3 linked regions of the Astyanax mexicanus genome follow. The protein of the gene in region 1 purifies or fractionates together with the protein of each later gene. This does not show direct contact. Links are inferred from orthologs where the notes say so. Each region holds a gene or a part of one and is shown in the gene's direction. Other genes may lie near its edges. The genes, in order: polr3k, pdrg1 and polr3h.

The links.
Region 2: the proteins of polr3k (region 1) and pdrg1 purify together in Homo sapiens (affinity purification with mass spectrometry; 3 studies listed by BioGRID and IntAct, with this or other methods). This does not show direct contact. The link is inferred for Astyanax mexicanus from reciprocal best matches to the Homo sapiens genes POLR3K and PDRG1.
Region 3: the proteins of polr3k (region 1) and polr3h purify together in Homo sapiens (affinity purification with mass spectrometry; 3 studies listed by BioGRID and IntAct, with this or other methods). This does not show direct contact. The link is inferred for Astyanax mexicanus from reciprocal best matches to the Homo sapiens genes POLR3K and POLR3H.

The regions. Positions count from the first base shown.
Region 1 is NC_064410.1:60,607,527-60,615,735, forward strand, and holds polr3k (DNA-directed RNA polymerase III subunit RPC10), read left to right. Parts: upstream 1-3,530; 5' UTR 3,531-3,681; coding exon 3,682-3,792; intron 3,793-5,199; coding exon 5,200-5,287; intron 5,288-6,363; coding exon 6,364-6,491; 3' UTR 6,492-6,736; downstream 6,737-8,209. Other genes in the region: snrnp25 (U11/U12 small nuclear ribonucleoprotein 25 kDa protein), read right to left, coding at 540-645, 781-871, 1,770-2,014, 3,300-3,384. UniProt on the Homo sapiens protein: Core component of RNA polymerase III (Pol III) which synthesizes small non-coding RNAs using the four ribonucleoside triphosphates as substrates. Can mediate Pol I proofreading of the nascent RNA transcript.
Region 2 is NC_064431.1:7,231,075-7,239,283, reverse strand, and holds the start of pdrg1 (p53 and DNA damage-regulated protein 1), read left to right. Parts: upstream 1-3,247; 5' UTR 3,248-3,483; intron 3,484-4,114; 5' UTR 4,115-4,183; coding exon 4,184-4,261; intron 4,262-5,048; exon of another isoform or gene 5,049-5,121; intron 5,122-6,267; coding exon 6,268-6,340; intron 6,341-7,144; coding exon 7,145-7,219; intron 7,220-7,299; coding exon 7,300-7,380; intron 7,381-7,823; coding exon 7,824-7,906; 3' UTR 7,907-8,209. UniProt on the Homo sapiens protein: May play a role in chaperone-mediated protein folding.
Region 3 is NC_064410.1:18,952,137-18,960,345, forward strand, and holds polr3h (DNA-directed RNA polymerase III subunit RPC8), read left to right. Parts: upstream 1-2,926; 5' UTR 2,927-3,084; intron 3,085-3,743; 5' UTR 3,744-3,744; coding exon 3,745-3,855; intron 3,856-4,657; coding exon 4,658-4,754; intron 4,755-5,007; coding exon 5,008-5,094; intron 5,095-5,762; coding exon 5,763-5,826; intron 5,827-6,796; coding exon 6,797-7,049; intron 7,050-7,184; coding exon 7,185-7,235; 3' UTR 7,236-7,498; downstream 7,499-8,209.

The DNA.
Region 1 (8,209 bases):
CTGGAAAATGAAATCCGCACTTAATAAAACACAGTGCAGATGTCATGTCTCTTTATCCAAACCATCACTGATTGGTGGAAACTTCACACTAGACCTCGAGCAGTTTGGACTGTGTGTCTCTCCACTCTTCCTCCAGACTCTGCTCCCTTGATTTACTTTAAATGAAATGTAAAATTTACTGATGATCAGTGATGGTTTGGAGAGACATGTCTGTCATCTGCTGGTGTTGATCCACTGTGTTTTATTATCAAGTCTAAAGTCAGTGCAGTTTTGTTTTCCCACAAAATCTTACAGCACTTCATGCTTCCCTCTGCTACTGACAACTTTTATAGAGATGCAGATTTCATTTTCCAGCAGGACTTGGCACACTGCCCACACTGCCAAAAGTACCAAATGGTCTTATAATAATATTCTAATTTTCTGAGACACTGATTTTTGTTTTTTTATTGGCTGTAAGCCATAATCTTCAACAATAAAAGAAATAAACACTTAAAATAGATCACTCTGGATCACTAGATGAACTGGTATATCAGGTTTACCAGCTGATGTGTTTGATGCCTCCTTCGCGCTGCTGCTTCAGCTCCATGTAGCGCTGAATGGCCTTCTTCAGATCCAGCACTGTAGCAGACTGCACCACCACGATGGCTGATTGAAAATTAAACTCAATCCATTAATGATTTTTATTGTACACTTTAAATTTTACAGAATAAGACTTTATCATTCAAAGCATCCATTACAGTTTATTCCAGAAACAACACCTAAACACATAAATTAACTTACGCATGATCTCTCCATCAGCTTTACACACTCGAACAGTCATGGCCTGCCCGTACTCCAGAGCCACCTGAGAGTTCACCTCCTCCAGAGTCACCTACAGGAGAGAGAGGATACAATTAACATCAGATCATATTTATTAGATCAATTAAATATGGTTACAGAATGTTCTATTTAAATGGATTCTTTATTGTTACAGTACAGTGTGTGCCTTATTCACTAACCACAAATTTAGAACAATAGGTAGTGCTTTATGTGTCCTTTTATAACAACATTAAATACTGTAAAACATGGTGGCGGGTGCATCTGTCCATGTGACAGTGTCGCTTCACAAACCTCAGTAAATAGACCATTATATGTAACAATACAATTTGAAATCCCAGTGGCTTAATAGATAATTTTTTCCAGAATCTCACTAATGTCTCCTGGACATTTTTTCATTGCAATTCTATTCATTGACTTTAATATACACATATTGGAATCCTGACTGTTTTGCAACTTCTTGGCACTGTATTGCATTAAAGGTCTCATTCCATCGTTTTTTTTATTTTTTTATTTTAATATGTCTGTGGTCTCTAATATGAATGTAAGAGCTGTTTTTTGGGTAAATAAAAAAAAAATAAAAAAGTGCTCCACTGATCTGGTATAACGCTGCTTTAGTCCGGTGGAGGAGTGGGCGGGGAGAGGCTATAGGATTTCAGCTCTTGCTCATGAATATTCATACATGCAAACATATCGCGGCTGATTGGCTAACAGCACTGCGACACCAGGAGGCAGCAATACGGACAACATTTTAAAATAAAGAGATTTTTACACTAATAACAGTCTTTGCAATGTCAGATTTGGGAGAAATGTTGTCTGTAGTTTATAGAATAAAACAACAATGTTCATTTTACTCAAACATAAACCTATAAATAGCAAAATCAGAGAAACTGATTCAGAAACTGAAGTGATCTCTTCATTTTATCCAGAGCTGTATGTCCCCTTATACACACCTGTATAGGCAGATCACACAGTAGAGGGTCCTGCACCATCATAGCCAGCCCTTCCTCAAAGATGTCCAAAACTTCTGAATGAGGCAGCGCCTCCTCATCTTCCTCTTCCTCTTTTAAAACGTCTTCAGCACTCTTCTCCATCATTTCAGTCTCTAGCATGTTTTCTGTCTGTGGTTCTGTCTTTAGGTCTTCTTCTTCCATTGTGGTCAATACTTTAAGGGGATTGCTAATCTGATTCTGGTCACCTGTGGGCAAATACACAACAGATAATATTAGAGATTATAGATTATAATTATTTATTAAATGCTTTTATAAACGATTATACGGCACATTCTAGAATTAGGGCTACATTTTTCTGTTACCTCTACAAATACAGTACCAAAGTCTCAAAGTTCAAAATTTGAACACAGCTTCTGATTTAATGTTTTTTTAATTATTTTTTTAAAGAAAGAAAACACACAAGGAATCATGTAGTAACTTAAAAGTGTCAATCACACCAAAATACTCTGTGAACATTTAGGTGCTCTTATCTGGGGGGCTGTTAACTTGTAGTTTCTGAGACTCTCTTGCTCTTTCTTTATTGGGCGGTCCTGATGAGTGCCAGTTTCATCATTACGTTTTTTGTGATTAATGTGGTTACGTTTTTTCTTTATAAATCATTGGTTGTTCAGATCAGCATTTCTTTCTAATTTAGTTTAAATAATTATTGAGCACACTTTCTGTAAATCCTATAAACTTTATTTCACTTTTCAAATATCACTTTGTTTGTCTGCTATATGAAATATTTAACTGAAATTGCTGATCCGAACAACCAATGATTTATAAAGGAAATTCATGAAAATTATTAGGGGTGCCCAGGGCAACATTATGTCTTGCAACTTAACAAGTTAAGAAAAAAAAAAGAAATAAATAAAAATATTATATATATATATATATATATATATATATATATATATATATATATATATATATATATATATATATATATTTAGTCATAAAAGGAAAACAAAATAGTCACAATAATAATAAACACACTGAAATGATAATACAATAGTCAACAGCAAGCGTTTTGTTGCCTGAAAGCAATACCATGCCATAAAAAGGGGTTAAAACCTGCTTTTTGCATTTTTTTTAGTTCACATGTGTCTGATATTAAAGTTTGTACAAATTAAATATGCAAAAAAAAGCAAAAACGAAAGAAAAGCAAAAGTAGGTGGGTAAATAGTTTTTTCTCTGCACTGTATTCACACTGCATCATAACTGCAGCGTTAAAACACCTTCAGCAACTGATTTAAAATATTTTAATACACAGCAATTTTGGGATTACTGACCAAAATGTTTGTAAATGAGGAGAAAAGCAGATAAATGAGCTAAATTAACCACGTTAGAGAGGAAATATGAGTGTTTATTTTTACTCAGGCCTCACTGGGTGTCTATAATAGATTTATATTTCTTTATTATCCTTAATAAATCGCTTTATAAGTGAATTAAATCAGAATAAACTGCAGCACAAACAAACACAGCACTTACCGTGTCCCCGCGTTACAGCGCCGGCCGGCAACACGCAGCTATAATATCTGAACCTGGGTCCAAAAGAACAGAGAAACTGGATCATACAACAGATTAACAACACGTTTAAACAAGATAATGTATTAATACGTGTTAAAACTGTATTAAATACTGATAAACTGCTATAACTGGTATGATTTTACAGTAGTTTAATCTGTGCTGTTTTTCAGACTGTGTGTTAGTCTGTGTTGTTTCCAGTCGGACTCGTTACTGAGGAGCACTGCTGTAGTTAGCACAGATAGCAGGAGGAGCTAACCGTGAGAAATATCCAGCAATTCTGCTGGAATTAGAGCATTAAACTAATTTATAGAGTTATATAGAGTTAGTATAGAGTTATATAGAGATGCTGCTGTTCTGTCCGGCCTGTGGGAATGTGTTAATAGTAGAGGAAGGGCAGAAATGTTACCGGTTCGCCTGCAATACCTGCCCTTACATTCACAACATCACCAGGAAGGTAAATCTATATATTACTAATATTATTAATATTCAGCTCTATATTAGTAATAAAACCTGTTTAATAAGGATATTCTCTATTGTTAGATCCTGTTCATTTCTCTAATCACTGAATTTAACCTATTTAATCCTGAATTTACCCCAAACACGTGTTGATTTAGCAACCTGCAGTTAAGTTACTGTTTTGATAAATAGTATATAGTATATTATATAATAGTATAGTAAAGTATATAGTGTAGTATAGTGTATAGTATATAATAGTATGTTATGTAGTGTATTGTATAGTAAATAGTACTATAGTATTGTATATAGTAGTATAGTATATACGAGTATATTGTAATATAGTATATAATAGTATAGTATATAGTAGTATAGTATATAATATAGTATATATAGCAATATAGTATATAATAATACAGTATATAGTAGTATAGTGTATATAGTAGTGTAGTATATAAAAGTATATTGTAATATAGTATGTAATAGTATAGTATATAGTAGTATAGTATATAATATAGTAAAGTGTATATGTAGCAGTATAATGTATAATAATAACACAGTATTTATTAGTATAGTGTATATAGTAGTGTTGTATATAAGAGTATATTGTAATATAGTATGTAATAGTACAGTATATAGTAGTATAGTATATAATATAGTAAAGTATATATAGCAGTAAAATATATAATAATACAGTATATAGTAGTATAGTGTATATAGTAGTGTAGTATATGAGTATATTGTAATATAGTGTATAGTATATAGTATAGTAAATTATATATAGCAGTATAGTACATAGAAGTTTAGTATATAATAATACAATATTTAGTATAGTGTGTATAGTAGAATAGTATATAATAATACAGTATATAGTACAGTATATAGTAGTATAGTGTATAGAAGTACAGTATTTAGTAAGTGGAAAAAAACAAGTAAGGTAATTTGTGTTTAGTTGGTTATATAATATTCTTTGTCATGCAGCTGAAATTGATTAGCTGAAAATATAATATACAATAGATTTGTAACTGTATCTCAAACTTATTATCTTTTTTATTATTTTACCCCATTCAAATTTGCACTGCTAAATTATTACATACCTGTGTACCTGCACTGTCTGTATGGCTGACATCTGTCCTCTTCTCAATATGCACAGCAAGTGTCCCTTAAATGTTTAATCAACGTTCATTTTTCCATCACTAAAAGGTTGACCTCCGTCATCAGAACTGATTTGTTTGTGCACATTGATTTTATGTTGATTCAACATTGATTAAACTTTATGGTTTTATATGCATGCTTTGTATTAAAGTTCACATTTGCATTTAAATGTGTATATATCGTTTGTGTTATATTCTTTTTTTATTGATTACCATATTGATGTGGATGTTTGTATTTTATTTGTTGCTTTCAGGTGAATAACAGAAAATACCCCAAACTGAAGGAGGTGGACGATGTTCTCGGGGGAGCTGCTGCCTGGGAGAACGTGGATTCCACAGCAGGTAAATATTGATGATCAATAAATGATTAAATAAAGAATTAACATATGGAAGATATGGCCTGGATGTTTATGATGATGTCTAATTTGGGTGAGTTAAGCGCTTCTGTTTATTTACAGTAAGCTTAGATTTCCAGATCTCCACAAAGGCTGGGTGCAGCAGCATTAGCATTAGCAGCTAGCACTAGTAAATGCTGCCCGACAGCACTACACTGAGGAACCCTGAGTGTTCCGGTAGGCCCGTTTTAACACGGCAAACACGCTGACTACAGACTGATATACTCTGCTTTGAACTACAAAAGAGCTAGCGCTTAGCTTGGTTAGCAGCTAGTGCTAATACTGCTGGAGAACTAAACTGAAACTCCTGTATAACTCTGTACTTCAGCGGAGAGGCTTTACTGCTCCTTAATACCTGACTGATAGAATTCATACATAAGGAGCACTTTTAAGTGTTAAGGATTTTAAGCCTTACAGTGTGAACAGTATCAGTAACAGTATATTTGATTTTAAATATTATGTGTATTTTACTAGAATTTCTAATGATTTCTCTGTGATTCTGATCCAGTTTGCTCATGTTTATGATGAATATTCATATATATTTATTTATCAGAATGTTTAAATCGCTTCCGTTTATTTACAGTAAGCTTAGATTTCCAGATTTCCACTAAAGCTTGGTGCAGCAGCATTAGCATTTGTGGCTAACCACTAGCGCTAGCAAATGCCTCCTGACAGGGCTACACTGAGGAACCCTGATTGCTCACGTTTATGATGAATATTCATACCTATTTATTTATTAGAATATTTAAAGCGTTTCTGTTTATTTACAGTAAGCTTAGATTTCCAGATTTCCACTAAGGCTGGGTGCAGCAGCATTAGCATTAGCATTTGTGGCTAACCACTAGTGCTAGCAAATGCCTCCTGAAAGGGCTACACTGAGGAACCCTGATTGCTGACATTTATGATAAATATTAATACATAATTATTTATAAAAATATTTAGATTGAGGGCAGGAACAGTAATAAAGTAAGTTGCAGTAAATAAACTTTATCATATAACTTTTTCCTGTCTTTTAATCTTCAGAAACCTGTCCGAAGTGTGAGCACCCGAGAGCGTACTTCATGCAGATTCAGACCAGATCTGCTGATGAACCCATGACCACCTTCTACAAGTGCTGCAGTCCACAGTGTGGCCATCGCTGGAGAGACTGAGCCGGCTGTGGATCTGTATGGACTGACTATTTATGGATCCTGTATCTTTAAAAAATCTGATTTACAGAGGCTAAACTCTGAGATGGAGACTTCTCTGGATTTATTTATTTTTCCACCAAGTGAAAAGATGGTTTGAAGGCCTTTTGAAGACCCAAAAAACGCTTTAAAAGAGGTTGATGTGATTGTTTTCCGTTACTTCACAGCAATTTATTATTTTTAATTCAATAAAGAGTCAATTAAAGACATACAGTTTATTCACCTGTGATCATTCTTTAACAAGAAAGATTTTTATATTAATTACTCTGTAGGTAGAAGTATAGATACTAGGGTTTAAAATACTTCTGTAGAAGTTGAAAAAGTAAAACTCAAGCTTTTTACTCTTTAAGTAAAAGTGTTTAAAAAAGTACTGGTTTCAAAACTACTTAAAGTATAAAAGTAAAAGTAATGGAAGGAGAAAAAAATTAACACACCATTAAGAACAAAAGCTTAGGCCACGCCCACAGAGTCCTATAGTGCACTAACCCCCCTCCCCTCCCTAAAACACATTTTTCTAAAAGCTATAATAACTAGAGACCGACCGATATGGGTTTTTCTAAGGCCGATGCCGATACCGATCATTAGTGGTCAGAGTCAGCCGATGGCCGATGTGACCTGCCGATTTTTAGGGCCGATATGCTATCGTATTATACTAATTTGGCATGCTTAAAATCATACTAGTAAGAGGAGGCACAACAGTTGTAAACTTCACACAATTTATTGAAAATAAGGTTAGCATTTTATAGTGACTTTAATGTTACTATATCACTATATGTTAATAAAAAAAATATTAATTTTATTTAGATTGTATTATCCATAACATTTTATTTTATTCATTATATAACATATGTTCTATATACACTATATATTCATGTTTATAGTAGAAATATTATGTTGGCTATTATATAAAATTTACTGTAGGGGCCTACTAATTAACAAATGTATGACTTGTTGCAGTCTGTTAGTCTATTAATTATTCATTTTAATATGTTTAACAGAGTGCAAGAAGACTTCCATAATGTGACAACTTTAGATAGTTACTCCAAAACGGCAAAGCTCATTTCTTCTTCAACTCCATGCAGTTTAAAACGAATGGACATGGGAGGACAATTTTATAAAATGTTCACATTAGGGCTGCAGCTATTATTTTACAAAAATGGGTGACGTTTAAATTAAGAATAAAAGTATAAATAATGCAAAAACAGACAGGTGCTGTAATTTAAATATAGCTTTATCTGTTTTTTTTTCTTCTTCAAATGAGCTCCTTAGCCAGAGAAACGCGTCTCATCAGCTGTACTGGTGGTTCGGTGCGTGAGCGGAAAATGAGTTGAGAAAGCTGAAGAGCGCGGACTTTATAGGTTCAGGATAAAATGAGCTTTTATCAGAAAAGTCTGGAGGGGGTTCTAAAGTAGAACCCGACAAAACAGAAAATTCTGCTCATCGTTTCATTTAATATCTAACAGCGCAAACCGCTTTAAACGGGTGAGTTTTACAGCAGAACAGCAGGAGGCGGCATGATTTAAGGTCTGTTTGTAGCGAAGGAAAAAGAGATGTTTTATTTTAACTCCATAATTTTAGAAACTATTTGTTTTATTAATTCGTTTACAATAAAGCTTATAAGGAGAAGTACAGTCCTCTAATAATCCTGACTAACCAGTAATTATTATTTCAGCGCAGCTGAT
Region 2 (8,209 bases), on another chromosome or scaffold:
AGCAATGTTCTTTTTGGGGAACAGTGGCTTTCTCCTCGAAACACTGACATGCACTCTATTGTTGTTCAGTGTTCTCCTGAGGAGGGTCCAAACTCCACCTTTTCCAGCCTGATGGACATGAACAACTTATCTTTTGAGGTGCTCAGAAATCTCCTTTATTCATGCCATGATATACTTCCAAAAACATGTGTTGTGAAGAGCAGACTTTGATAGATCCCTGTTCTTTGAATAAAACAGGCTCTGCCCACTCACACCTGATTGTCGTCCCATTGATTGAAAAACCCTGATTCTAATTTGAATTTCACCTTCAAACTAACTGCTAATCCTAGAGGTTCACATACTTTTACCACTCACAAATATGTATATATATGTATATATTTTAAATAAATAAATGACCATGGATTTTTTTTCTCCTTTGTTTAACTGGGGTCGGTTTATCTTCTTATTGGACTTATGTAAAAATCTTGTGATGTTTTGGCTCATATTTATTTTAAAATATAGTAAATTCTAAAGGATTCACAAACTTTCAAGCACTGCTGTATGTTGCTTGTATTTTTTTGGTTATTTTGTTTTGTGAACAAACAGCCAGAGCATGTTTCTCTTCCTTTATCATTGCTAGTTATGTTAATGTTACAGTTATTATTTAATGATACTGATGTTTTAGTGTAATTCACTTATGTTTAAGATGAATGTGTATTTTTCTAGGAGATATAATAAGTTGAAGTGCAGCTTGGAAACAGATTATTTTTGGCAATATTAATAATTCAACTTCCTCTGTTACATGACTGACCCAAGACTGCCACGATCAGAAATTGGGACTGAAGCATTCCAGTTTTACAGCAGATGATAACAGTACCTCACAAAATTAGTCTTCATCACAGCACACTGTATTTCAGCACACTGAGGAATGTAAATGTGTGTCATTTTCTATTGCTGTTTGTTATTCTTGACTATGACTTCTTGTTAAGTAAAAAAAATGCTTGTTTGAGGTGTTTTGTGTATTTTTCAAAAACGTTGTGCTTTGTTGTACAATTAACAAAAAAATACAAATACAACAAATTGCCAAAAGACATGGGATAGCACTATGTTCATAAAGTTAATCATGTAGCGTTACCTCAGGGGATGGCTTGGGAACTCCCAAACCTGTAAAAGTTTTATTTTGTGAGTGATGTTGAACACTAGACATTGTGCTCATGGCAAGGCAGTGTGAATTACACTACGTAACAATTTTGCATATATGTTTTCTTCCCAGATGTTTGTTGTTGTTGTTTGTGCCTCAAGTGAATAGAAATAAGGTATTATTCCCCATAAACTTGCTTTTGTGGTCAGCACAATGAGATTTTAAATGTATTTATTATTAAGAATATTCACGAAATATAGCCTTTGGCCCTGTCCTATATCGCCCCTTGGCCCTACCACTTATTTATTTAGTTATGAAATTTTTAGAGGCACATTTAAGGAAGCATTAGGAAGATGGCAACACAAGCGACCAAAGAAACACAAAAATTTAAGTATTTTCCTTGTAAAAAAAATTACAATTAGCACTACATTACCAACTGTTTAATCTGTAGTTGCAGTGTTTTATGGACATTTTCTTTTTCTCTGAATGCCGTTACTAAGGACAGTATAAGGAGAACATGATGGAGGGTAGTTTATGGACTAATACGTGAAAGTAATTTGCAGTTTAGTCATAAATCTGTGAAGACAACACACTTCTGAATGTTTATTGTTATCTTGCAAGGCATACTGTTGCATTGCATAGTAGTGCACATTATTACAGAAAGAACGGGCCGAGAAAGTGATCTGCAGTACAGTCTGCATATAGAACATATATTCATTTTTGAGCTATTATACGCAGCATTGATCAAGTTTTATAATAATTGTGTATTTTTGTAGTGAAATGTTGATTGTTTCTATGATAAAGCACAAGTCCAATTCTTGTATTTTATCCCAATAAATATAAAACTAGCATAGGCTACTGTCATAAAATCAAAGTTCATGAGGAATGTTGGTGTTTTTTATTGAGTTTATATGTAAGCAGTTGAAATATAACAGAACTCGGGAAGAAAAAATGTTTTATATTGTGTTATTACTCGACGTGAGGCCTGATAGTGTGACTAATATTTGGAAGGTTTGATATTTGTTCTGTGGATTTAAAGAATACACCAGTGAACTTCTGTAGGTCTTCCACATATCACTGAAAAACAACTCTAACCAGCTCTGGACTCTACAAGACCTCTGAAAGTTGTCTGAGGTATTTGGCACCAAGACGGTAGCAGCAGAGCCTTTAAGTCCTGTAAGTTGCAAGGTGGAGCCTCTGCGGATCAAACGTTTTGTTTCAGCACATCCCACAGTGGATTGCTTTGAGAGCTGGGGAATTTGGAGGCCCGAGTGACACTTTGAATTTTTGTGTACCTTAAAACCAGAGAAGTACTTCACTACTGTACTTAGATACTAAAATGCCGTATCTAATGAAGTATTATTTTTACTTCTCTACTAAAATACTGGATCTGTATCTACTGGAGTATTCTTTTTACTCCACTACTGTACTTAAGTATTAAAATGCTGTACCTGTAGAGTATTATTTTTTTCTCCTACTTCCACTTTTACTTCAATACATATTTTGTATGAGTTTTATATTTTTACTGTTATACATTTTCTATGTGCTGCATCGTTACTTGTTACAATTATAAAAATGTTAGGAAAAAGGACACAAAAACTATAATGATTAAAAGCCTGTCATCCAGAGAGAGAAACATTAGAATACAATGTTTTTAATCTAGAAATAAAGGTCTCCTTCCGCTAAAATCCACTTTTTCCTATTGCTCTCTGAGTTGTATGTCTCATATAAAACTGTTTCTCAGCCTCCATTGTCCGCAGTAGCTAGTAAAAGAAAATCCTCAGAAAAATGAGTCGATCAGGAAAAGCTGTCTACGTCAACTTGTGAGTTCATGGCCTTGCCAACATTAGCTCGGACCGACCAACACCGGTCAAAGCGGGCGCCGTTTAAGTTTAACAAATAATCATAGTAATTTTGATAATTGTATTATTTCTTATATTAATTTACCCTGTTGTGGTAAAATATCAGTAAATAAATAAAAAACTGTTTTCTGTAGAAAAATGGAAATGTATAAGTCATACCTGTCAAGTCTCCCGTTTTGGCCGGGAAACTACCGTATTTTACTCCTCTCCTCCCGTATTAGTATTTTCCCGTAAATTTCCCGTATTATACTAAATAAAAAAATATATAGGCCACAGGCGACAATGCACTGACCGCTGTGTGTCTCTTAACCAATCGTGGTGCCGGTTCAAGGAGAAAGTCCCGCCTTTCAGGAGAAACAGCCAATCAGCTTGCTGGTTTTGCGGAGAGCTGTTTAGTGTGGGGGAAGCCCCGCCCCTCCCCTCGCTGTGAGTTCAGGCAGCTAGTCGGAGCAGCTGTCGTTAAAACTAATCTGGATATACGGAGATTTTTCTAAAAGAAAGGTAACTAACCATGTAAACTGTGATGAGAATGTATATTTTCCTCTTTCAAATAATTTCTGTATTATTGTTTTTAATATATTTCTATATGTGTATTTTTAACGTCTGTTACATATATTTATAAATCGTTTTCTCATTTATTTATTCACTTATTTATTTCTGTATTTCTTCCTCCGTATGGGAATTCATTATTTTTGTTTCAAAATTAAAGGATGATCCTTGCTTAGTAGATATAAAAATCTTAGTTACTAAAGTTTTTAATTAGTGTATTTAGCCGTTTAGCTCCATTCACTCCTATTCATTTAGGTCTCGCTCGCGGGCTCTCTCTAGTGTGCAGTTATAATGTTATAATTTATAATTTATAAATATAATTATAATTATAATTATATAATTATAATTAATTATAATTATAATTTGATATAATGGGACCGATAGGGAGTGGGCAGGCTTTTCATAAACCGGCTCTGATAGTACCAATCTCTGTGTGTCTGTGTGCATTAAAGTTCAACTATTAATATGAAAAGGTAATTCAGGGTGTAAAAAGTATTTTAGGCATGATTGTGTGTCAGTAGTTACTGATTTTTAATTTTGAAACTGGGCGGAACTGATTATCGCGCGGTCCTTGTTTCCCCAGACTGGGGGACTTATTTTGTATAATTACTCGCTGTGTGAGGAGCTGTGCTGCTGCTGCTGTAGGAGGGAGATGGACTCCAGCAGGGTGATGGAGTATCTGATGGAGGTAGAAGTGGCAGCTGAAGACGTGCTCGCTGATAAACAGCAGGTAACTAGATTAATAACAGCTGTTAAACATCAGATTACAGCTCATTCAGAGCGGAGCTGAGCCTGTTGTAGTTCAGCTAACTATCCCTGTAGCCTAGCTAAGCTAACCAACACATATAGGTGCATTTCGTAAAATTAGAATATCATTGAAAAATTACTTTATTTGAGTAATTCAGTTCAACATATAAAACTCATGTATTATATATACAGTATATGTATGTATATATATATATATATATTACACACAGAGTGATCTATTTTAAAAGTTTAGTTCTTTTATTGTTGACGTTATGATTATAGTCTATAATCATAACGTCAACAATAAAAGAACTAAACTTTTAAAATAGATCACTCTGTGTGTAATATATATATATACATACATATACTGTATATATAATACATGAGTTTTATATGTTGAACTGAATTACTCAAAGTAATTTTTCAATGATATTCTAATTTTACGAAATGCACCTATATGTGTAGGTTAGCTTAGCTAGGCTACAGGGATAGTTAGCTGAACTACAACAGGCTCAGCTCTGCTCTGAATGAGCTGTAATCTCCTGTTTAACAGCTGTGTATACAATTGATTATTACAATATAAAAGCTGCTAAAACTAAGCACATCACCTCTGAACCACAGCAAAAAAAACAGAGCCTAGAGCCTACTTTAAAATAAAGTAAAACTACAAATGTGCACAGTAACTATAAGCTATTATTAATTAAATTAATAATAGCTTATAGTTACTGTGCACATAAGTCTTCCTAATGTGTGGCCTAAAAAGTATAATTAGGTCCCACCGAGATTCGAACTCGGATCGCTGGAGTCAAAGTCCAGAGTGATTAACCATTACACCATGGGACCGGAAATGCCTTTACCACAAAGTTGTAGAAAAGAGCTGATCTTCCTCTCCTAAATATACAGAAAATAAGCTTGGTCCCTGCTCTCCTTCACTATCGCTCATTAGTATAGTCCTGATAAACGATAAGTGATTTGCAGTGGACTCTGTCCCCCTTTTATAGACTCTCGCTCTGATGCGTCGCAACAAAAAACACAGTGGATCAACACCAGCAGATGACATGTCTCTCCAAACCATCACTGATCATCAGTACATTTTACATTTTATTTGTAAATTAAGAGACCAGAGTCTGGAGGAAGAGTGGAAAGACACACAGTCCAAACTGCTCGAGGTCTAGTGTGAAGTTTCCACCAATCAGTGATGGCTTGGAGAGACATGTCATCTGCTGGTGTTGATCCACTGTGTTTTATTATCAAGTCTAAAGTCAGTGCAGTGTTTTCCCACAAAATCTTACAGCACTTCATGCTTCCCTCTGCTGACAACTTTTATGTATTCTGGATCACTGCAATTTCAGAAAACAACAAAGTCAGTCAATATTGTCAGAGTGAACTTGGCCTCATTCTTGGCATTACAGTACAGTACTGCCTAAAATAAAAAATACATTTTATGTCTTAATTGAATTTGGATGAAATGATAGCCAACATTAAGATAGCTGATAGATCTCATAATATTGGCTAGCCAGCTAACTGCACTAACATTTCCACTGGAAAAAAAAACTGTCTTGTCCTGTAAAGAAATGTTCACATACTTTCTGCTTCTTTTTAAAGAATTTCCTCAAGCTCACTGTGTTTCTGTGAAGGGAGCAAATATCCCCAACAGTTGATCATCAATCAAGAATATCCCACTGTTACTTAAAGTAATAATTAAGGCAAACTATTATGGTATTGTTCTTTATTATTGTTTCCTCTTATGTAAAAGAAAATGTCCTCAAATCACTGGAACTCTAGCAGCTGTACCTAATAAAACCCTGTTCAAGGGAAAACTCTTTATTTCAGACAAAGTCAGTTGCAGCAACATAAATCATTCCCACATTTGGTATTATAAGTTGTGGTTTAGTGTTTTTTTTTTTTTTAAACGTGTAGTTAATACAAGTATGAAAAGAAATCTGAAAAGAAGTGAGTTACATTTAACCTAACATTATCTCAATGCAGATTGTAGACCTTGACGCAAGAAGGAACAGAAATCGAGAAGCGATGAATGCTCTCCGAAATAGTGCTGACAGTGGTACGTTAATAATTATTGTATATAAATACATGTTCAAATGGGATAATGCATTATACTGTATGTTCAAAGGTTTGTAGACTTGTGGATGCAACTTGATGAACAGGTGTCTCAGTCAGTGTTAATGATGGGGTATCTGCAGACTTTGACCAAATGTAAAACCTAAATTAATTTATTTTAATATAGTAATTCAAGTTTTGTAAAACTTAACATAAACTGTAATGCTTAATGTAGAGTCTGTACACATAATTTTTAGAGATGCACAATGACATCAAAGTTTTTGAATATTCAAAAATGGTCTAGATTTGTCAGATATTTCAACTTAAAATTTGCTGCTGTATTTATTGCATGCTGGTTAAGGGCAGAGCAAAGCTGCCTGCTTTACTACAATTGGGCGACACTGATAAAACAATGTGAAAACTAACTTCTCAGCAAAAACCTTTCATTTTATTGTTTGAATACAATTGGTTGAAAGCTAAAATGTAAGGCAAATAAATATTACATTTTTTTTTTTTTTTTTTCATTTTAACCGGGTTGTGCAGTCTCTCTGTAAGTTATAAATGTGTATATCTGAATTTGCATGTGTAATATCAGATCTAGGCATTGTCCCAGTATTCTCATATCAGTGCATCCCTAGTAATATTGGTGTGTGTCTTTCGTTATTGTGAAAGGTTTTATGGCCATATTGCCCACCTGTACACTACAGTCAATTTGCCATATAGTGAATATAGAGTCATGTAAAATCTTTATTTTTTCTTGTGCCATCTTTTCATATCTGTCCATGCTTTCATTTCTATTTGTCCACAGATAAAGTAAAAGTCTGCTTTGGAAACATGTTCATAAAATTCCCCAAGGAGAATGCTCAAGCCATGATGCAGAAAGGCAAGTTCAGTGTTTTGTATGTTGAAGCCATGCCCTGTTACATGAACAGCTTTATTTACACTTTATTTACTCCTCTTCAGATCAGGAACAGCTTGACCAAGAGATAACTGACCTCAGGAAACGTCTAAAAGCGAAAGTAAATCATCTCAATGACTTACAAGGTATGGAAAAGATTTGTGCTGTTTTACAGTAGAATATTATTGTAAAATAAGCATTCATTATTAAGGTAACATGCCATCTTGCTTATTTTCTTTAATATAAGAATTTCAATAGGACTTTCTTTAACATCAGTCATTAATGACTCTTTACTGTACAAGATGCCCTTAACTTATCAAGTATATAAAAATATGAAGTATATCATAGAGTTGGGCAATATGGTGAACAATTTTATAACAATTTATTTCTTAACCTAAGAGCCCATGGTGATGAATGTATCACAGATCCTTTAAAAGCTGAGTAAATTTTCTTACAGAAAATTTTTAGTAAATTTACCTGAGGTTTTAAAGTGACACATACTTAACTTCCTGAGAGCAGCACCACAAGATTATACAATGTTTTAAAAGTATGTAACAATATTCATTATCTGTTGTTTTCTATGTTGCAGGAAAGCCTGAACTCAGGGGCTACAACCTCTCTCCACTTAGCAATGATGAACTGAAAGCAGTTAATAGCATCCTGAAGAGATAGGATGACTCGAGACAATGGTGCAGTCCAGAGACTTGAATTTCAGGTGAAAACCTGATGCCAGACCCATGTTTAAACTTGAGTGTGCAATCAGGGGGAGTGTGGGGGAACATATGAAGTCAAGTGAACTCTAAAATCAAGCAGGAGGAAGATTTTTCTACAAACAGCATGAGGACATTTTGTTCAGATATGCAATAATACACACACAAGTGGACTACAGCGATACACCTATTGACACACATACTTATAAAATCTAGAGTTTTGAGTGTGTTGAGTGTGTAAGTGTTAAGTTCGGCTAATGTGTGA
Region 3 (8,209 bases), about 42 Mb from region 1:
TTCCTGCAATCAGACTGAGACACGTTTGTATGAATCCAATCAGATTGAAACCACCTGATTTGGGTCCACTTTGCAAAAATCTGATTTATTTAGGTTTCTGGCTGTTCCGTGGATCAGCTGGTGCTCTGTTATGTGATTAAAAACTCTGGCCTATCCGTCAGTGATGTAACCTTTATTTCCTGCTGAAGTAAAGCTGTACACGAACAGTGAACACACCTGTTATTTATGTATCTGACATCTGATCTCTAATCTACAACCAAATATTTGTCGGAATCGGACTCCATCTCTCTGTTCTGATTTTAATGTTTATTAATTTGTGTTTTGTAGATGGATGTGATTTGAATGCTATCAGAATCTGAACTTTCCTAAATAAATGAAAATAAAATAAATCAGCTAATGAGAATGTGCTTGTTTTGGCTGGATTTGTATTAAAATGCGTACACAGACACACACACCATTGTGAAACTGTAAGTGTGTTAAATCACACCAGTAATGCATGATCAGGTATTGTACATTAATCTAACTGTTTGAATGCATGTAAACACACTCTGTATTAAACATTAAATTGTTTTAGATTTGCTGTTCTCTGAGTTACAGATACACTTTTACACTACATGGAAAAAAAGTAATGGGACACTTGCTACTTTACTGTTTCTTCTGAAATGAATGGAATTTAAAAAAAAAAAAGTGTATCCTGCTTTTGTTTGAGTTAGTGTCTCTACTGTCCAACAAAGACTTTCTACTAGATTTTAGATTTTGGAGCATTGTTTTGAGGATGTGATTGCATGAAGTGACAATAGCTTTAGCCTTTATCTAATAGCTTTAGCCTTCTATTTATTAAATAGAAGGGTTGTCCACAAATGTCTGGAAATAAAGAGTAACTAAAGCTCAAAGTCACGTATTGTCAATAGATATGTAATAGAAAAATCCTGTGGTTCTTTAGGCTTAAGTGGGGGAAGGGAGTTATGATGCATGACAGATGTACAGAGGGCATGAGCATATTACGTAATCATACACTCACTCTGTAATGCCTGTGTGAAGTTCTGGCTTTATGGGTTGTTTATCACATGTAACCATGTAGGTGTTCAAAGAGATCCCAGTCAAAAGTCACTTACTAATCAATACAGAGACACTACTTAAAATGATTACTATTGATGAAAATTAATATTAGATTGTTGACTGCTAGACATGGCTCTGACATACTCAAAAACATTGTGCCCAGTTGGCAGACTGTAAAAAATGCATCGTTGGAATGAGGGAATTAGGGGGGTTTTGATGAATTGCCTGCCATATAGGTCAACTGCCACCCACCATCCTCTTCGTTTTCAGTGGTGTCATGAAGAAGAACCCTGGACTGCTACAGACTGGAAACATATCGTCTTCAGGTTGGGATCTGATGATAGTCAGGTTTGAGTATGAAGGTCTTGTGGTATGACAGGTCTTTGCGTATGACAGTTGGTCACTGCTAGAAGTGATCTGAGGGACACTAACAGCTCAGAGATACATGCACGACACCCTGTAGACAGGTGTGATAGCATGGCTAATAGCAGGGCTTCCAACTGGCATTCAGTTCAGTATTAATGGGAGCGGCTGGGACGCAGCTTCAGCAACCAACAAGTGTAGAGCAGGATCTACTGCAACAACTGCAACGTATGTGGGTAAATATGCTGCAGGATGCCACACAAAACATGTACACCACCATGTCCAATCGCATCTCATCTTGTATTCAGGCTAGAGGCTCCTTTAAATTACAGCATTTTTTCTCAATAAATGTATTAATCCTTTTATATTAGAATCACTCTAATATTACTATGGGTGTAATTTATGTTTTGAATATTTATGTTTATTCTTTTTTTTTTAGCTTTCTGCCCCAAAGTTATAAATGCTGGCATATTTAAATTCAGTCATGTTTCACTGATTCTTGAGATATGGGACAAAATGTGGCTTACGTTGAAAAGACTTCTTGGTGTTAAAAATAAAGAAATTAGGGGGTCACGTGACACAAATGGCAGACTAGCAGTTTGGCCAACATGATCCAATAGCCCCTCTGAATATTACAAATAGTTACCACTGCGAACTTGATAACAAGAGGCTAAAAGTAGTATAATAGTATGTTGCAATGCCAGGTGGACAAATGAGGCTTAAACTTGTGTCTAAAAACAGTAATAGAAGCACAGTGGTTACTTTTCCACTAAAGGTTTCAGCTCAGCTATTGATATGGTATAACAACAACAACAATGATAATATTAATAATAATAACAATAACAATAATAATAATAATAATAAGTTTTAGGTGTAGTAATGTTTTTTTTTAATGGAAGACATACAGTATGTGATCAGTGGTGATTTATAAACAGAGTGTATAATAATAATACACTATATTTTTTCTGTTCATATTTTTTACCCTTTCATGACCTGAAAGTGATGGAAAAATATGCAAGAATTCTGTCAGTAATGCACAGAAAAAGAAGAGTCTAATATTCTACTATAAAGTCTATTTAGCAAATAAATCAAATTAATTAAAATATTTATTTATTGTTTATTTATTATATATTTTATTTCCATTGCATTGGAAACCTGTGTGTAATATTTTATATTTCATAATGACCTTTTTTATTTCATAAATCATCCATGAACAGTAAAAAACATGATAAAAAATGTTCTAAATCAAATTAATTAAATTAGTTAAAATTAGCTGTTACTTTGCTGTTACTCAATGGCTCTAGTACTACTGTTTTTCCAGTGCAGTGGACCTAGTTGCTGTTTCATTGGTTTATTAACTTGTTGATTGGATGGTTCATGGTCTATTCTGATGAGCAACAGCTCTCAAATAACGTTATGTGCAACAAAACATTTAAAAATAAAGAAAATCCTGGTGTTCATTGTAATGGATGCAGGTCTGAAAGGGTTAATATCTACGCTGAATACGTCACATGTTTTGCCGTAAACCGTCCAGCCTTGTCGTAAAGCCGGAGCACACGTGAGAGGACAGCGGGAGTTTAGTGTAAAATGAACCGGATTCGGATTAAATCTGTATCAGAACTGAGGCTGTAGAGCAGTGAGGAGTTCACTCAGAGGAGGAAGGTGAGCTTTGTCTGTTTAGCGAGGCTGGAGCTTCGTGCTGCCTCAGGTCCAGCCTGACTTCCTCACTGCAGCTCGATTTAAGGTGGAGCGGATTATTCCAGGCTCAAATTCAGCCTCGTGTCGACCTGTTTATTTACCTGTTTCAGCTCTAGAACTTCAGGCTCACCCTTAAGAAGTGTATTAACCATAGTAAATAAAGTTATGACACGTTTAACAATATTTAAATAAAAATAAAGAAATAATAAAGAAAAACTCAATCTAGCGCTTCTCCGGCATCTTCCAGCATATCTGACCTGTTTAAATCAGCTGTGTTATTAATCAGCTGTATTATTAATCTGCTGTGTTATTAAACAGCTGTATTATTAATCTGCTGTGTTATTAAACAGCTGTGCTAAAGAGTTATGTTTTTATCAGCTGTGTTATTAATCAGCTGTTATTAATCAGTTGTTTTAATAATCAGTTCTGTAATTAATCTGATCTGTTATTAATTAGCTGTGTTATTAATCAGCTGTATCGTTAATCAGCTCTGTTATTAATTAGCTGAGTTATTGATCAGTTCTGTTTTTATTCACTTGTGTTATTGATCAGTTTTGTTATTAATTATTTCTGTGTTATTAATCAGTTGCATTATTAATCAGGTGTGTTATTATTCATTTCAGGATGTTCGTGGTGGTGGAGATGGTGGACACGGTGCGGATTCCTCCCTGGAACTTCCATCGACAGCTCAACGATGCCATTGCTGAAGAACTCAATAAGAAACTGGCCAACAAGGCAAGACCTCCATCACTATTACAGCTTTGTTCACAACAGGGCATTATGGTCACCTGAATGTTTCTAAACTCATTATCCAGTTTCAGCTCCACTTAGCATAAAGGACACGGTGTAGTTCTTTAAATACAGACTGTAGTCCTGTATCTGTTTCATACTTCATCATGCTCCGTTCCTTACTGGTAAGAGTGTTTAAACATGTTAGTATCACTGCTGGACTTAGGAAAGTCCATCAACAGAACTGTCCTGTGGTTAGTGTCCTGTGAACATTGTGAACCAGTGTTCTGTTTTTAGGTGTCCTGTGGTAAGTGTTCTATGGGCGGCATCATGTGAGCATCGTCTTGTGGAACAGTGTCCTGTGGTTAGTGCCCTGTGAGCATCGTCTTTTGTAACGGTGTTACAGTGAAACATTTAGAATAATTAATGAATTAGGTGTTGAGGTTATTCAAGAAAAAAAAAACTGATTAGATGCAGCACTATTGTAAATAATCATCCAGGAAAGTTTGAGCGGTAGATTTAGCATATATGTAAGGCTCACGTGGTGATTTCTAAGTAAGTTTGGATCTTGATTAAATGAAATGCCGACTGTAATCTAGAATCTAAATGTACATTACCACCTTAGTTTACTGTCTGCACAGTGCTCTGGGCTGCCAGGACTGGAGTCTGACACACACTGGATGAAGCTCGTAGAATAAACTCAAGGGAGAAATGCTGACCTAAAGCAGCTAGACTCTGTTTTAATGATTAAGATTTGATGTTTCAATAACTGTCCGTTTGATGTAGTAATCATGTCTCCTTATTTTAGGTCGTGTATAACGTTGGCTTGTGTATCTGCTTGTATGACATCACCAAACTAGAGGATTCCTACATTTTCCCCGGGGATGGAGCCTCCCACACTAAAGGTATTTTTGGGGGATTTGGAGACCTCTCTGGTCAGAATGTGTAATTACACAAAGCATGGGGAAGAGCACTTTCAGGTTAATGCAGGTTAATAAAACATTGGGCAGACAGCTGTTAGACGGCAGTAGCTGTTTAGAGTTTTTTAGAAAGCCTGTGTTGTTTTATTCAGACTCTCTTTCTGTTTGAAACTGATTCTGCCGTAGATCTTAAATATTTCTGTAATATCAGTGTCTTTGCTTTGTTTATTTGGAACAGTGCATTTTAGATATGTGGTGTTTCACCCGTTCCTGGATGAGATTCTGGTGGGGAAGATCAAATACTGCAGTCAGGAAGGAGTGCACGGTAAAATTACACACCACTACACTTTTACTATCTCTCTCACTCCCTCTCTCTCTCTCTCTCTCTCTCTCTCTCTCTCTCAATAAGGCCTGTATCTGTTTCTTAATCTCTCTGTCATGCTGTTACACCTCTGACACTCAGAAATGTATTCCATATAGTCTCAGCTTTTAGTTTATTAAGTGAGAAAAATGGTGAATTGGTTCCTGTAAGGTTGTCACTCTCAAAAAATGCTAAAAGAACAAGTCAGCTTATCAGTGTACACAGTTTTTATGTTTAAACAAATTCACATCCTTTGTAGAGACACTTTACCCGTTAAAGCCTGAATCATCAAATAACAACAGAAATGTAGAGTTATTTACTGCTTCTGACTTTAAATAATATACTTTACATATTTTACTTGTATTTTATGTAATAGTTGATACATTAGAAATTTATTGCTCACAGCGTTTTACAGAACTTGCAGAACTTTTACAAACATACATAGAACACAGAATCGTTTAACCCTTATACAGTGTCCTATATACAGATTATATAGGATAAAGTATGCTTACTTATTCTATTATATATTTAAGATTTTTCCATTATGTTTTTTTTATTTAGAAATATTATTTAGTTATATTATTAGTTGATATTTAAAATAATTATCATGTGTGCATGTGTGTGTTTCACAGTCAGTCTTGGATTCTTCGATGACATCCTAATCCCACCAGAATCACTACAACAACCTGCTAAATTGTATCCTGCCTGGATAATGTTGATGGTCATGTTGATTATGATTATGATTATTATGATGATGATCATGATGATGATGAAAATTACTGTGTATTGTCAAGAATTTGGGCGAAATATATTATTATACAGGGGATATGGTTCAGTACATTGCAATATGTGATTATTTTAATAAAATATTAGTAAAACTCCCATAGTATTAAAAAAACACTGTTATATTTATAAAACCTGAGTAAAAGAAAAGTTGATTACAACACTGCTATCTAGTGTGCGGGGTTTAAACACAACAGTAAATGAACTACTTCTAACACCAATCTTTGCATTTAAATTAATCATTAATAATATATACTGTTTTTGAAAAGGAATACAGTATTGAAAAACAAAATATCATGATACAATATGAATATTTTCATATGCTCCTAGTGATGGTAATGATGAGGATGTAGAGGATAATGATGTTGATGTGGATGATAATGTTGAGGAAGATGATTATGATGATGTAAAGGGTGATTATGTTTAGGATGAGGATGATAAAGATGTGGAGGATGATGTTGAAGATGAGGGTGATGAAGATGAGAAGGATAATGATGTTGAAGGTGAGGATGATGTGGATGATGAGGATGATGTAGGGGATAATGAAGTTGATGAGTATGATGTCGAGGATGAAGTTTATGTTGAGGATGAGGATAAATATATTGAAATTGAGGATAAAGATGTTGAGAATGAGGATGATTTATGATGATCAGAATGAAGATGTTGAGAAGGAGGATGATGAGAAGCATGATATTGATAATAATGAGGATGGGATAATAATGAGGATGATGACAAGCTTGTTGTAATTGGCTGTGTGTGTGTTCAAGTTCGTGTTCTCCTGTATGGACTGTGTTGGCGTGTATTTCTGTCGTTTTTCTGCTGCGCGAGTGAATGGCAGCACGGGTTCAGTCCTTGTGGTTTGGTCCTTGACCGGTTTTCATAGTGACGAGGCGGAGCAGGTTTGGGTCTGGGAGTATGAGACAGATGAGGGCGCTCACGACCTTTACATGGACCAGGGTGAAGAGATCCGCTTCCGGGTTGTGGACGAGCTCTTCCTGGACACGTCTCCTACCGGACCCACCACTGACCCGGAGGCTCCGGCTAACAGCAGGACCGGTAGTGCCGCACCGCAGCCTGCAGCCCCCGCCGCCGCTGACGACAGCTCAAATAAGAAAGAGTCTCCGTACACATTGATGGTAAAACAAATATTTTTAAATTAAAGATTAGCCATATTGTTTTTGAAACAGTTTCATGTATCATCTTTTGCCATATATTAATTATATGGTGTAGTGTGTAGTTGATGAGAGTGTTTGTATTTCTATGTTTTGCAGGCATCCATCAGTGAGCCGGGGTTAGGTCTTCTGTCCTGGTGGAGTAACTGATAAACGATGTGTGTGTGTGTGTGTGTGTGTGTGTGTGTGTGTGAGAGAGAGAGTAAGAGTGCGCACGCGTAATAAATAATCACAGCTGAGAAGATTTCGACTGAAGAACCTGAAGGAACCTCACTTCTTGAGCTGCAGACTGGACACTGACGTTTCTGTGCTCTCTTCTAGAGCCGCACAGTGTGTACAAAATTCTGATACTGTGATTGGGATATGCCTTTAGATTTTCTTTATACGTGTATATATTAAAAACTGTAATTTGACCTGTTTACTGATTGGTCTGTGTTATTGTGACCAGATTCCCTTTTGTATTAATAAATGAGCAGCTTCAAACATCAGAACCCCCACAGTAACACATCCTGAGCTGTGATTGGTCAGAATGCTCACAACACAGAAAACACCACTGTTATTAAGATGACCTGCCTATTTCAGCCTTGTGTCCTTGTTGTTATAAAGGCCCTGCTGTACTGTCCTGGATCAGTTACACAATGAACTCATCGTTATATACTAGTGCATATCAAAATATTAGAATATCATTGAAAATTCAGTCCAAATATGAAACTTATATATTATATACATGTATTTCTCTTCTTTGGCCATAATCATCAACAATAAAATAAATAAACACTTAAAATAGATCTCTCTGTGTGTAATACATCTACAGTGCCCTCCATAATTATTGGCACCCCTGGTTAAGATGTGTTCTTTAGCTTCTCATAAATTGAGTTTTGTTCAAAATAATATAGGACCACGATGGAAAAAAAGAGTAAAGTCCAACCTTTAACTCAAGTGAATTTATTCAGTAGGAAAAAAATCCCACATTAAGAAATAATTATTTAACATCAAATCATGTGTGCCACAATTATTAGCACCCCTGATGTTAATACTTTGTACAACCCCCTTTTGCCAACAAAACAGCACCTAATCTTCTCCTGTAATGTTTCACAAGATGGGAGAATACAGAAAGAGGGATC